Linked DNA regions of Cricetulus griseus. The protein of the gene in region 2 purifies or fractionates together with the protein of the main gene of each other region. This does not show direct contact. Links are inferred from orthologs where the notes say so. Each region holds a gene or a part of one and is shown on either strand. Other genes may lie near its edges.

What was found. Proteins that work in one complex are often made in the same cells at the same time.
Region 1: the proteins of Ecd (region 2) and Znhit2 purify together in Homo sapiens (affinity purification with mass spectrometry; 3 studies listed by BioGRID and IntAct, counting the BioPlex papers as one, with this or other methods). This does not show direct contact. The link is inferred for Cricetulus griseus from reciprocal best matches to the Homo sapiens genes ECD and ZNHIT2.

Annotation. Positions count from the first base shown.
Region 1 is NC_048596.1:53,287,696-53,294,694, forward strand, and holds Znhit2 (zinc finger HIT domain-containing protein 2), read right to left. Parts: upstream 3,907-6,999; 5' UTR 3,671-3,906; coding exon 2,474-3,670; 3' UTR 2,430-2,473; downstream 1-2,429. Other genes in the region: delta(14)-sterol reductase TM7SF2, read left to right, coding at 715-834, 923-1,091, 1,297-1,377, 1,461-1,583, 1,736-1,896; Fau (40S ribosomal protein S30), read right to left, coding at 5,607-5,732, 5,894-5,949, 6,684-6,828, 6,964-6,999. UniProt on the Homo sapiens protein: May act as a bridging factor mediating the interaction between the R2TP/Prefoldin-like (R2TP/PFDL) complex and U5 small nuclear ribonucleoprotein (U5 snRNP).
Region 2 is NW_023276807.1:200,643,886-200,651,078, forward strand, and holds part of Ecd (protein ecdysoneless homolog), read left to right. Parts: intron 1-2,805; coding exon 2,806-2,934; intron 2,935-3,599; coding exon 3,600-3,685; intron 3,686-6,500; coding exon 6,501-6,607; intron 6,608-6,686; coding exon 6,687-6,873; intron 6,874-7,193. UniProt on the Homo sapiens protein: Regulator of p53/TP53 stability and function. Inhibits MDM2-mediated degradation of p53/TP53 possibly by cooperating in part with TXNIP. May be involved transcriptional regulation. In vitro has intrinsic transactivation activity enhanced by EP300.

The DNA of each region.
Region 1 (6,999 bases), on a different chromosome or scaffold from region 2:
CTGGCTATCAATGTCTCCTCCACTTTCTTCACCTACTTAAGTAACTAGGATTAGTTATTGTAACCCCACCTGGCCTGGTCCCTCCAAGGATCTGGAGATTGGCCTGCCTACACACATACCAGACTCTAAGGTTATTTTCTCACTGAAGAAACAGGATGGGATGAAGTTTTCTTCTACAATTACTGTGAGGGCTGGGTGTGGTGGCACACTCCTTCAATTCCAGCACTTAGGAGGCAGAGGCAGGTAGATTTTTATGACTTTAGGTTAGCCTGGTTGTACACATTTTCAGTCCAATCAAGGCTACTTAGTGAGACTTTTTTTTTTTTTTAATTAGAGGTACCCTTAATGAAAGTACTATGTCAGTATTACTGAAGAAGCTACCTAGTCCACTGGAACTACTAAAACAAGGGTACAAAGTACAGGTTCACGACAAGCTAATCCTCAGCTCTGCAAGCATTATATTTTTCTTTAAACAGCAAGACAGGGCTCTTATCCCCATTTTCCACATGGCAGTGGGAAAGTGAGCTTCAGCAAGGATATATACTCTGCCCAAGTGGCAAAGCTCAGATTCAAAAGCAGGAGTTTTAAGTATAGGCAGCTTCGACCTAGATTCATTCAACATGTGAACTGACAGTTGAGGGAGGGGAGAGGTTGACACTTTTCCACTCTGATGCTCCCACTCAGAGACAATGGCCCTGTCCCCACTTCCCTCAGGTTTTTATTAACCTGGCCCTGCTGATACAGGAGGCAGAGCTACGGGGGAGTCCTTCACTGGCCATGTGGCTGGTCAATGCCTTCCAGTTGCTGTATGTGGGTGATGCCCTCTGGTATGAGGTGAGGCTGGATTGGAAGGGGAGGTGAGAAAGGGATCCTGAAGATGTCATCTGGACTAAGCCAGTGTGTCTGGGTCCTGTCCCTGCAGGAGTCTGTCCTCACCACCATGGACATAATACATGATGGATTTGGTTTCATGCTGGCCTTTGGAGACCTAGCCTGGGTACCCTTCACCTACAGCTTGCAGGCCCAGTTCCTGCTATACCATCCACAGCCTCTGGGGTTGCCCATGGCCTTGCTCATCTGCCTTATTAAGGGTCAGTAGGAGGGCCTTCATTTCCCCTCCCTCTTTCATACTTCATTCACTGCCCATTAGGTAGATCCCAGGCTCTGATGCTCCTCTAAAGCTGGGAGCTGGCCCCCTGGGTGTCATAACAGAGCCTGGGATTTGGACAGGCTTGTTGTCAGGGCGAGGAAGAAGGCTTGGACTTCATCTCACTACCTGATCATACTTTCTCTCAGTTATTGGTTACTACATCTTCCGTGGTGCTAACTCCCAGAAAAACACATTCCGGAAGAATCCTTCTGACCCCAGTGTGGCTGGTGAGCTGGGTCTCCTGGAGACTATGGGTGAGATGAAGGGTCAGGCTTTGAGGCTCCCTGGTTCATTAGCTACCTTTCTCCAGGTCTTGAAACCATCCCTACTGCCACAGGACGGCAGCTGCTGGTATCTGGGTGGTGGGGTATGGTTCGTCACCCCAACTACTTGGGAGACCTCATCATGGCTCTGGCCTGGTCCTTGCCCTGTGGTGAGTAGGTCTGGGAAGGGAGGCTCAGTCTGGTGTGACTGGAGATGGACCCCGTGTATCACTGATGAACCCTGTCACCCTGTGTGTCATTAGCTGAGAAAGCCATTATACACCGGGTGCTGGTGTCTCATCATGCAACCCCTTCCCTACAGGGGTGTCTCACCTGCTGCCCTACTTCTACCTCCTTTACTTCACTGCATTGCTGGTACACCGGGAGGCCCGAGATGAGCAGCAGTGCCTTCGCAAGTATGGCCGTGCCTGGCAGGAATACTGCAAACGTGTGCCTTATCGAATCATACCCTATGTCTACTGAGGCAGAGCCATCTAACAAGCTCAGGCCTGAACACATGTGGGGTGAAGGGCCTGCACCCCATTCTACTTGGCAGGGATGACCAGCCTCAGAGTCTGACGCAAGAAGAGGGAACCACTGCTCCCATATGAAAATACTTTTCCCTGCTGGATAAATGTTTTCAATCTTGTTTTTCTTCTATTCTGGGGTCAGTGATTTGGGGGAGAGAGGTAGAGAACTAGCTGACTAGGGAAGCTGTACTAGGGAAGTGGTTTGTGTGTCCAGGGTAGCTTCGTGGAACAACTGGTTTCTCTCAGAAATGGGCACTTCAGGCCTGGGGGATGTAGTTGTTATATAGAATGCTTGCTTAGCATTCAAGAAGCCTTTGACCTTCAGCACTGCATAAATTAGCAAGGTGACTTAACACTTGTAATCCCAGCACTGTCAAGGTAGAGGCAGGCTCGGCTCAGAAGTTCAAGGTCATCAGCTACACAGTGACTTCAAGGAAAGTCTAGGATAGGGTACTGTCTTTGAAGAAAATAAAGGTACTGCCAACATTTGGACAGACCAGTGACAGCTTTATTAATACCACACACCCAGCTCAGCCAGGGAGCTCCTCAATGAGAGTCCTTGGAGCAGGTGGTACCGGGCCTCCCCAAAGCCGCTCCAGCTCCCCAGTAAGGGTTGCCATCTCCTCGGCTGTGACAGCATGGGCTCGGTGGACCCTGGCACAGTCTAGAGCCAGTGGTGTGAGAGCAACCTCATTTTCGTTGGTCCAGGCTAGGAGGAACTGGCACTTCTTCCGAGCCCGGTAAAGGCGATTTCGTTCTTCGCTAACCACAGCCTGTTTCCGGGCTCGGCCCAGGGTTTGGGCCAGGTGCCCCAGTGCTGTCAGCGTGTAGCCTTTCTGGTTGATAGGACCCTCGCCCAGCAGAATACGAGCAACCTCTTGCATAGCACCCCGCGTACCCAAGGGCCCAGGTGGGTGTTCACCCGCTTCCAGCACGTGGGCTGCGGCCTGCAGGGCTTCCTCCGTAGAGTCAAAGACTTGCTGGGCGCCCAGGGCTCCAGAAACATCGAGCAGTGTGGCACAGAAATCAGAGAGTAGAGCGTCGTCGTCCCCTCCATGATACAGGGCGAGAGTGTGAGCGTAGGCGAACAGCACATTGGGCAGCTGGAATCGCACGAGTGGCGAGGGCGGGCAGCGGCTCAGGCTGGCCAGCGCTGGGATACGGGAGGGCACTGCGGGCGGCACGGCGGCATTTGAGTCTTCAGCAAGAGGCACCGCGGCGGCATCATCCACAGATTCGGGCGCGGTGCTCTCTGGGGCGGTCTCCGGCTCCGAAAGATCCCTGCCCGGGGCACGATCCAACTCCTCCATAAATCGCGGGCCACCCCCGCGGCCCCACCACCAGGGTCTCCACGGGGGCAGAAGGCGTCCAGCATCGCCACGGCTCAGCAGCCGCTCGAACGCCGCCTTCTCAGCCGGTGACAAGCTTTCCCAGAGTCCAGAAAGGCCGTTCGGCCGCGGGCCGGGCCTGAGGCCTATTTCCTCGGGCTCATCCTCGGTCTCCCGTTGTTCGCGTAGCCGGCGTAGTGCTCCCGCCAGACGGCTGGGAGAGGCACTCCGGCCGCGGAGCTCTCGCAGCACCTGGTCGCGGTAGAAGTCTTCGGCGCAGGAGCCATGCGCCCGGTAGCAGCGCAGCGAGCAGTAGGGCGCGTTGCAGCGCGGGCAGGTGTAGCGCGCCGGCAAAGCTTCCCCGCCTGGGCAGAAGCCGCAGAGCCCTACGGGCTCCATGGCAACTGGCGCCGCGTGTCGGGCACCACACAGCAGACGTAGCTCCGCCACTTCCGGTGCTTCTTCGGTTATTTCCGCCTTTGTGCGTGGGGCGACGTACCTTCTCGGTAACTTCCGTCTCTAGAGTAGCCTTTTGAGCATGCGCAGAACACGCCCAAGGTCTAACCAACACGGTGGCTCTCGAGAGTTAGAAGATTAATGTCGCTGATCCCAGCTTGTTCCCTGTGGTTTTACCAAATTGTGCAAAAATAAACTACCTTTTAAGCAAAACCAACCAACAAAAAAAATCCAGAATCTTAGGGGTGTAGCGACACACGCCTTTAATTTAATCCCCGCACCAGGTCCCCAGAGGCAGGGCGATTTCTGAGTTTCAGGTCTACCCAGTGAGTTCCAGAATAGTCAGAGCTACAGTAAGACCCTGTCTTGAAAATACCCCCAAAATAATAAAAACCCTACAAGAACCAAATCATAAACCAGGCATGACAAAGAATCTGAAGAGCAGGTTCCAGGACAGCCTCCGAAGCCACAGAGAAGCCCCGAAGATACTTAACATATCAATATAACAAACTGGGGCAGCCCAACCTCCAAGTTGGATTGAAATTCAATTCCTAGTATTTGTTTTGTGCCACCCATCCCCACCCAACCCCTGACTGCCACCAGAGGTTTGTGTAGCCTTGGCTTTCCTAGAACTAGCGCTGTAAACCAGGCTAGGCTAGCCTCTTCCTCTCAGAACTGGGATTAATGGTATGTGCCACTATGCATGGATCGCAAACTACATAGTTTCATACTTTTCCTCTACAAAGAACCTGAGTTGGGAATTTGACCCTTAAGCACTGCTCAGGCCAAGTGTGGTAGTCTACACAGCATGTGGTAGTCTAGTAACATTTGGGAGGCTGGGAAAGGAATATTAAGAGTCCAAAACTAGCCTGGGCTTAATAAAAACCATTTGCCTCCAAATCCCTGGTACACTCCTGAATGCTGTCCTAACAAGAATGTGGGAATACCCACACCCACTATAGTAAAAAGCTAATGGCTAAACAATGAGTCTGAGACAGTCACTATTCAGAGTCTACAATGGGTTAGACACTGGTTGCAGCGCATTTTACAGTTTGACCAGTATCTCTCACAAAGCTTAAATGGAATGGAGTGTCCAACTATTCTTTGGCCTTACTCCTTGGTGCATTCCAAGATGCAATGGGATCTGGGTGTAGTGGAAGCCTGGTGCTAAGGGTGGAACCATTTAATCAGCTTCTCAGTCACAGTTGTGATCAAGTTCAGCCAGACAAGATCAGGATGCCAGTGCAATCAGACAATTCCAATGCCGAGGGACCCGATGCTCCTTGTGTTTTGAACTTTTTTTTTTTAAGATTTTATTTATTATGTATAAAACATTCTGCTTCCATGTATATCTGCACACCAAAAGAGGGCACCAAATCTCATAAGGTTTGGTTGTGAGCCACCATGTGGTTGCTGGGAATTGAACTCATGACCTCTGGAAGAGCAGTCAGTGCTCTTAACCTCTGAGCCATCTCTCCAGCCCGTGTTTTGAACTTTTATTGATAGTACAGCTGGTCCCAAATTCAGTAAAAACCGATTCACCTTCTAACCAAGGCCTCCCCTCCCTTTAATCATTGCCTCTCCAAAACAGCCTAACACTGAACCTGTTTGGTTGGTTGAAATAGGGTCTCTATGTAGACCAGGGTGGCCTTGAACTCAGATCACCTGCTACATCTACTCAGGCCTCCCAAGTGCTAGGCCTAAAAGGTGTGCACCACTTCTGCCCGCTGTGGTGAGATTCTCATTTATCACTCCCAATGGCCAAGAGACACTTTACTAGCCTAAAAGTTCTATTTCTTCTTAAGGCCTCACAAATGATGAAAGCAGTAACACATCTGGGCAAAGTGGCTTTATTAGAGTGCAAGAATCACAGAAGGACTTAGGAATTAGCATTAGGGCCCTTCTTCTTGCCAAAGGTTGGCACCACGTTAACAAAGCGACGGTTATACTGCATCCGCCGCTTGGCCCGACCTGTCTTCTTCTTTTTTTTCTCTTGTTTGGCCACCTGGGAAAGGGAAGGACTGACTGGTAAGACCCTGGTTCACCTCTCCCATGCCTGGCATCCTTCCCACCAATTCCTCTCCAGGAAAGAGAATACAAACAGGAAAACCAAAGGTCTTTGATTTTGCTGCAATAGTGCAAATAACAATTCTGGCACTCACTCACCTTGGGAGTTTGACCTCTCACTTTTCCAGCACGAGCTAGGGAACCATGAACTTTACCTGTGTGGGGAAGGAAGAAAGGCAGATCAGAAGCAACGCCCTAGTTGGGCGTTGGTGGCACACACCTTTAATCCCAGCACTAGGGAGACAGAAGCAGGTGGATCTGTGAGTTCGAGACCAGGCTGATCTACAAGAGCTAGTTCCAGGACAGCCTCCAAAAGCTAGAGGAAACCCTGGGGGACGGGGGAACGGGGGGACGGGGGGGGGGGGGGGGGGGACGGGACAAAGACAAGTTTGGGTCCAACAAGGAATGAAACCAAGTTGCACAGATTAGAGATGGAGGCCACAGAATAGCTATCCCAGGTTGGTTTCCACCACAATGTCACTGTGGCCAGTCTGTTCAGTGCTGAGGGTTGATGTATATACTACTAAGGCAAGAACTATCCTTAGCTAACATTTTACATACAAAACAAAGACAGGAAGCCAGATTTTGATTGTTATTGCTCTTTTGTCTCCTGACAGCGTTTCTCTGTGTAGCCCTGGCTGTCCTGGAAGTTGCTTTGTACACCAGGCTAGCCTTAAAGAGACCTGCCTGCCTGTCTTCCATGTTGCTAGGATTAAAGGTATACACTGCCATTACACGACTTTGGATCTTGATTTTAGTGGGGACCCCGAGAAGCAGTCTGGTTAAACTCAGTACCACTCTAGAAGGCACAGGTGTATTGCCACAGAAATGAGCTGACACATTCTATAACTACACACATTCCATTAGTTCACAGTAAAAAAGCAGTCACCTCCCAACATGCGACCAGCTACTTCCAGAGTAGTCAGGGCCTCTACGCCACACTGGCCTAGGGTGGCCTCATCCTCCAGCGGCGAGCCAGCCAAAAGCACGACTTGATCTTCCGGGGAAATGCCTTCCAGTGAGGCCACATGAGCCTACAGACAAAAAATTAAAAGCCCAATAATTTGTAAGGAAAATTTTACCTGCGGGTCTGGGGATAAAGGAGCACACACTGGGGAGAAAGGAGTTTTACCTGCGGGTCTGGGGATAAAAGAACATTATACACTTACTTTGATCTGAGCGACCGTCTCTTGGCCGGTCACCTC
Region 2 (7,193 bases):
CCCCACCCCCTCCTCCCTTTCCCCCTTACTTTCTTTCTCTAATATGAAAGGGCTTTAAGGACTGGAGAAATGGCTCAGTGGCTAGAAGTGCATATTGCCCTTGCAGAGGACCCAAGTTTGATTGCCAGCATCTATATCTGGTGACTCACAACAGCCTGTAATTCCAGAACCAGTGAGTTCCCAGGCTTCAGGCCTCTGTGAGTACCTGCATTCATATGGATGTACCCATCTACACACATACAAATAATAAGTAATTTTTAAAAAGACTACACATAGAAAGACACTCTTGACTTGATAAAGATATAAATCGATTCAATCCTTATAGGAAATCATTTCCCACTATTTATCAACACTTAAATTGTACCAAACATTTTGCCTGCCATTTTCACCTGAGTTAATGAATGGCACAGCATAGGAACTCTAGAAATAAGCCCTGCTTATGTGAGAATGTAGTAAAATTCATCAATTCAGATCAGAGCGTCAGGAGAATTACTCAGTAAATACTGATCCAATAGCTGTGAAGCCTTCTGAGAATAAAAGGTCAATTCCTTCACACTTAGGACAGAATAAATTCCACTGGGATTAAATAATTTAATGTAAAAATGGAAACTGTAAAAATTAGAAAATATAGAAAATTATCTGACTAGGAAAGGCCTTTTCAAGCATGGCTTGCAACCATAGGCAATAAAAGATTGATATAATTTGATGATGTAAAGGTTTCTAGCCAAGTGCAGTGTGCATCTGTGGTCCCTTTAGAGTCCAGCAGCCAGAATGCAGCCTGGGTGACAGGTAGCAACACTGTCACAAACACCAATGTAGCAGTAGATGGAAGAAGAGAAATTCTGCTTGGAAAAGAAAAATGTCATGAACTCAAAAGATACCAGAAAATCTGGAGAAGGAGTATTAGGTGTTCCTATAGAAAAGAATGCTTGGGCTGGAGAGATGGCTCAGTGGTTAAGAGCACTGGCTGTTTTTCCAGAGGTCCTGAGTTCAATTCCCAGCAACCACATGGTAGCTTACAACCATCTGTAATGTAATCTGATGTCCTTTTCTGGCATGCAGACATACATGCTGACAGAACACTCATACCTCAAAAAATGCGTAATAAATAAAATCTTAAAAAAAGAAAAAAAAATGGGGCTGGAGAGATGGCTCAGTGGTTAAGAGCACTGACTGTTCTTCCAGAGGTCCTGAGTTCAATTCCCAGCAACCACATGGTGGCTCACAACCATCCGTTATAAGATCTGGTGCCCTCTTCTGGTGTTCAGATATACATGGAAGCAGAATGTTGTATACAAATAAACAAATAAGATCTTTAAAAAAAAAAAGCTAACTGATTAATTTTAAATGTTCAGAAGCTGAACAGATAGTTCACAGAGAAGGAAGTACAAATGAATTTTAATTTAAACATGAAAAAGCATTGACCTCTCTACTTAAAAATTAATATAATTTAAAGCCACAAAATAGTTTTTCACTACTAGATTGGCAAATATAAAAAAGTATGGGAACATATACTGAGCTGGTAAGCATTTATAGGATATATAAAGGAAAAGGGTACTCTAACATGTGGATAGAAATAAAAATTTAGCTGGGTGTGGTGGCGCACACTTTTAATCCCAGCTCTTGGGCGGGAGAGACAGACCTCTGAATTCTAGGACAGCCTAGCCTGTGTAGTGAGTTCCAGGACAGCCAGGGCTACATAGTGAAATCCTGTCTCAAACACACACACACACACACACACACACACACACACACACACACACACACACAGAGAGAGAGAGAGAGAGAGAGAGAGAGAGAGAGAGTCTTAAGTTGATTCATTCCCTGTGAAAACCAGTTTCCACTATCCATCAACACTGAAATTGCATTGACCATTTTGCTTATCATTTGCACTTCTAGAAATGTGTTTCCAGGTTTCAAAACCACTAGACTTCTACTCAGGAAACATCATTTGTAATAGTGAAAACTTAGAAAACACCTAAGTGCATGGAAGAATAGATAAATTACGCCATGTTTGTGAAGTGAAGTTGACAAATTGATGTGTGCCGGTAGGAAATTCTCTCCTTATCATGCAGTTACGTGCAGTAGAGTGTGTGCTGCTGTTGGGGTGATGAGAGGGTAGAGAAGGATGGCACCAGTATTTACTTGAGTGCACAGATTACTTCTTAAGGGAGGTGCCGGACTTAGGTAATGACTTTGAATTATTGTGCCATATTATTATCATTTTTTACCAAAGGATCTTAAAACAAAATCATTCTGTTCTTTCCTGTGTCTGAGAATATGCTCAACTTACTTTCACATTGTTGTTACATTTTCATTGATCTATTTCGTGTGCATGGCAGGGTTGGGGGGAGCCTGCCATGGTGCACAGTGGGGGTCAGAAGATAACTTTTGCGTTGGTTCTCTTCTACCATGTGGGTTTCAGAGATTGAACACAAGCCATCAGGCTTGGTGGCAAGCCCCTTTATCCACTGAGCCATCTTGCCAGCTCAGAAACAAATTCTACTTTTCGTATAATTTAAAAGGTGTTCTAAGTGAAGCTGGGTATGGTGGTGCACACCTTGATCCCAGCACTCGGGAGGCAGAGTTTGAGGCCAGCCTGGTCTGCATACTGAGTTCCAGGGACAGCCAGGTATATATACTGAAACCCTGTCTGAAAAAAGAAACTAAAAAGTGTTCAAGTGTTCACATTTCATTGTGTCCAGTCATCTAGTTCTTGATAAGGGCTAAATGGGAAAAATTAATTTAAGATGACAGAGAAAAAGAAAATGCAAGAATAACAAACATTCTTTCTATCTCATCTAGGCTCATGGATTTGAGATTTTGTGCTCCAAATGTAGCCCACATTTTTCTGACTCCAGGAAATCCCTTGTGACTGCTTCACCCCTCTGGGCCAGCTTCCTTGAAAGTCTGAAGAGGAATGATTACTTTAAGGTGGGAATTGTGGTGGTTGCTTCTTCTTATGAATGTGTGTGCATGTATGTGTTATTTGTGTTCTTACACGTGGTGGGGGCCAGAGGGTGGGTAGAGGCGGGGTCTTCCTCTCACTGAACCTGGAGCTCACTAGTTGACTATACTGGTTGGCCAAGGAGATTATAGGCCAGCCTCATCTCAGAGAAATAAATCGAACACCACCACCAAATCCACCCTCACAGGTGGTGGATGTAAACAAATGAGCATGATAATGAAGATGATTAAAACTGAATGCTCCTATACATAGTTTTTGAGAGACCCTTACATTCGAGAATGTAATAGGCATGAGTATGCTCAAAATGCATTAAATATACATACAAGGATATCAAAAATAAAACCCATTACTATATATATTTATCATCTGCTAATGAAACACTCACTAAAATCAATGGAATTTGAGGTCAGATATGGTACTACACACATGTAATCCCAGCTCACCAGAGACTCAGACAGGAAATTCTAAGTTCAAGGCCTGTCTGACTGTGTAGCTATTTAAAGGCCAGCTGAGCCACTTACAAAATCTAGTTTCAAAATAATAATAAAATTGGTCTGGGAGAATAGCACAGTGATGGAGCACCCTCATATTGTGTAGGCACTGTTCTAATGACCGGTATTGTGTTTTCAAGGGACTGATAGAAGGTTCTGCTCAGTACCAGGAAAGACTAGAAATGGCAAAGAACTACTTCCAGCTCTCCATACACCGCCCGGAAAGGTGAGCTATAGCTACCACCCACCACAGAGGAAGGCAGACTGCTGGTTGGGTAGTTCTTTTTAACTAATATGTTTTATAAAATGTCATGGCTGTATGTGTGTATAATGTGTGTATGGATACAGACATGAGCATGCCACTGGGGGAATCAGTGTTTGAATCTATATTATAGATATTTTTATTGTTGTACATAATTTTAGTTAATCATTTTTCTATGAGTATATTTCTTTTTAAAATATTTATTATTTTTATGTATGTGAGTGTTTTGCTTGTATGTCTGTGCACTGCATGCATGCCTGGTTCCCTAAGGAAGCCAGAAGATGGTGTTAGGTCCTCTGGAGCTGGGTTACAATTGTTTGTGGACAGTTACAGCCATGTGAATGAGTGCTGGAACTGAATCTAGGTCCTCTGGAAGAACAACCAGTGCTCTTAACCTCTGAGACACCTCTCCAGTCCCCTACAGTTCTGGGTTTTTGTTTGTTTGTTTGTTTTTTGAGACTGACAAGTGTATGTATTGTTAGACACTGAGGCCAGGAGACTCACAGCCTAAGTGCTCACAGGCTGCCCTGGCACTGAGCACAGGGGTTTGCCTGGCCTTAAAGAAGCCCCACCCCCTACAGTTCTTTATGACACAATATTTAAGGAAATGGATTATGCCATAAAGCACACAACTGTTTTTGCTACTGAAGAAAATATACAAGCTGCTAAACATCTAATATTTTAAGCAAGTGTGATGGTTCATGGGTGTAATCTTAGCACTCAGAAGGCTGAAGCAGGAGGATCACTATGAGTTTGAGGCCAACTGGGCTACATAATTTTTAGGTCAACCTAGCTCATAAAGAGAGATGTTGACTCAAGAAACAAAACAACCAGAATTTGAAAGTTTCAAGGGGGACTCCCATTTCTCACATTAGCCATTTTTCAACAATTTCATTTTGATTTGCTTTGTTTTGGTCTTTTGATATTTAAGTCAGAGTCTCACTATGTATCCCAGCTAGTCTTACATTCTTGTTCCTCTTGCCTCCTCCTTCCAAATTCTGGAATTAAGAACATGAGCCTCGGGATGGGAGTGAGGGGAGGGAGAGGGAGCAGGGATCGACATGTGAAACAAGCTTGTTCCTAATTTGAACAATTAATAAAAAAAAAAAAGTAAACAAAAAAAAAAAAAGAAAAAAGAACATGAGCCACTGCTGGGTGGTGGTAATGCACGCCTTTAATCCCAGACTTTGGAGGCAGAGGCAGGTGGATCTCAGTGAGTTCCAGGACAGCTAGGACTATTACACAGAGAAACCTGCCTTGAAAGACAGAGAGAGAGAGAGAGAGGGAGAGAGAGAGAGAATATGAGCCACCAAGCCTGGCCTTTTAAACTATTATAAACCAAACTCCTATCTCCCTCCAGACCTGTTCTTGAATCCCAAGTCTTAGATGTCTTCTTCATTTATTTAGACTTGTTTCATCTTCTGTCTATGCCTGTTTTGCCTGAATGTACGTTGTGTGCCATGTTTGTTCCTGGTACTCTTGGGTCGGGAGAGGGTATCAGATCTCCTGGACCTGGAGTTACCAATTTGTTGTGAGCTGTCACGTGAGTGATGAGAGACAAGTCTGAATGCTCTGCAAGAGCTAAGTGCTCTTAACCACCGAGCCATCTCTCCAGTCCTTAGAGCTTTTTAATTTATTTATTATATATACAGTGTTCTGCATGTTTGCCTGCATTCCAGAAGAGGAAACTAGATCTCATTATAGATGGTTGTGAGTCACCATATGGTTGCTGGGAATTGAACTCAGGACCTTTGGAAGAACTGTCAATGCTTAACCTCTGAGCCATCCTTAGAGCTTTGTTTTGTTTGTTTGTTTTTAGAGACAGGGTTTCTCTGTGTAGCCTTGGCTGTCCTGGAACTTGCTCTGTAGACCAGGCTGTTCTCGAATTCAGAGATCCACCTGCCTCTGCCTCCCGAGTGCTGGGATTAAAGGTGTGCTCTACCTCCATCCGGATCATTGTAGTGTTTTAAAGTGTATATCCACTGCAGAACGGTTAAATCTAAGTAAAATGTGTATTACCTCATATATACTTGACGATGTACTTAAAAAATACAGAGTGAATTATAAGTGTTCTGGGTGCATGTGTGCCACAGCATACTTGTGGAAGTTAAAGGGTAACTTGCAGGAGTCAGTTTTCTCCATTCACCATGCAGGTCCTGAGGGTCAAACTCAGGGCATTGGGTTTGGTAGCAGGTGCCTTAACCCACTGAGACATGTTTCAGGTCCCATCTCTTCTTTAAAGGGAAAAAAAAAAAAAAAAAAACTTGTCCACACCCCAATAAAAGTAATCAATTGCCCTCTTCCACATCTCTTTAGCCTTTGTTGTTCTTAAATGATTGTATTTTGCCATAAAAAAAGTCACTTTTAGGGTTTTGTTTTACTGATTATCAGTATCTTTTTTTAGTTCATACCAGCCTCAAACCTTCTGTATAGCTGAGACTGGTTTTAAAGTCCTGATCCTCCTGTCTCCACCTTTCAAGTGCTGGGATTACAGACAGACAGACAGACAGACAGACAGACAGACAGACAGACAGACACACACACACACACACACACACACACACACACACACACACACACACACCTGTGCTTTGTCATTTATTAGGATTTTTTTTTCTTGCATAACATGGGGTAGGGATAATTTATTATTCATGTGGCTTTTCAAAGTATCCAGCTGTTTATTGAATTTGCTTCATCTAAATAGTTCAGATAGTTTCATCAGTGTAGATAATAAGTCATGTCACCACCATAAGGAAATGCCTGTCTTTATTTTTTGTAGTTCAGTTGCTATGAGTCCAGGTGAGGAAATCTTAACCGTGTTGCAGACACTGCCTTTTGATGTCGAGGAGCTCAAGAAAGAAGGAGCCGCTCTTCCTCCTGAGGATGGTGAGGGATGGGCACAGAGCAGAGCAGGGAGGTAAGAAAGGCCTCTCCTGTGGCGTGGCTCACCTGCCTTCTTTTTCAGATGACCAGTGGTTAGACCTCTCACCAGACCAGCTGGACCAGCTGCTGCAAGACACTACAGGCAGAAAAGAGTCACAGCCCATTTCCCAGAAGGAGGAGCAGAAGAATTATGATGTAGCACAGGTCTCAGACAGCATGAAGGCCTTCATCTCCAAAGTCTCAACCCACAAGGGGGCAGAGCTGCCAAGGTAGCTACACTAAAGAAAAATGCCCAGTTACGCCCAGTGTCGAAGTCAGCAGCAGCATCAGAAAGTACCATTTCCACTTGGGTTTTCTTCTGTTTTATTTTGTTTGAGTCTTACTGTGTTGCCCTGGTCTCAAACTCCTGGGCTTATGTTATCTGTCTCAGACTTCTGAGCAAATGTGACTATAGCCACATGCCACCACACTTGGTGTTGTTTTGATATTGCTTTTCTCTTTCTCTCTTCTTTCTTTCTAGTATGAGTGTAATTGTTTTTATTTTTGAGCAGATTCCTTTCACTGCTTTGTTTTCTATTTTGGTGCTGCA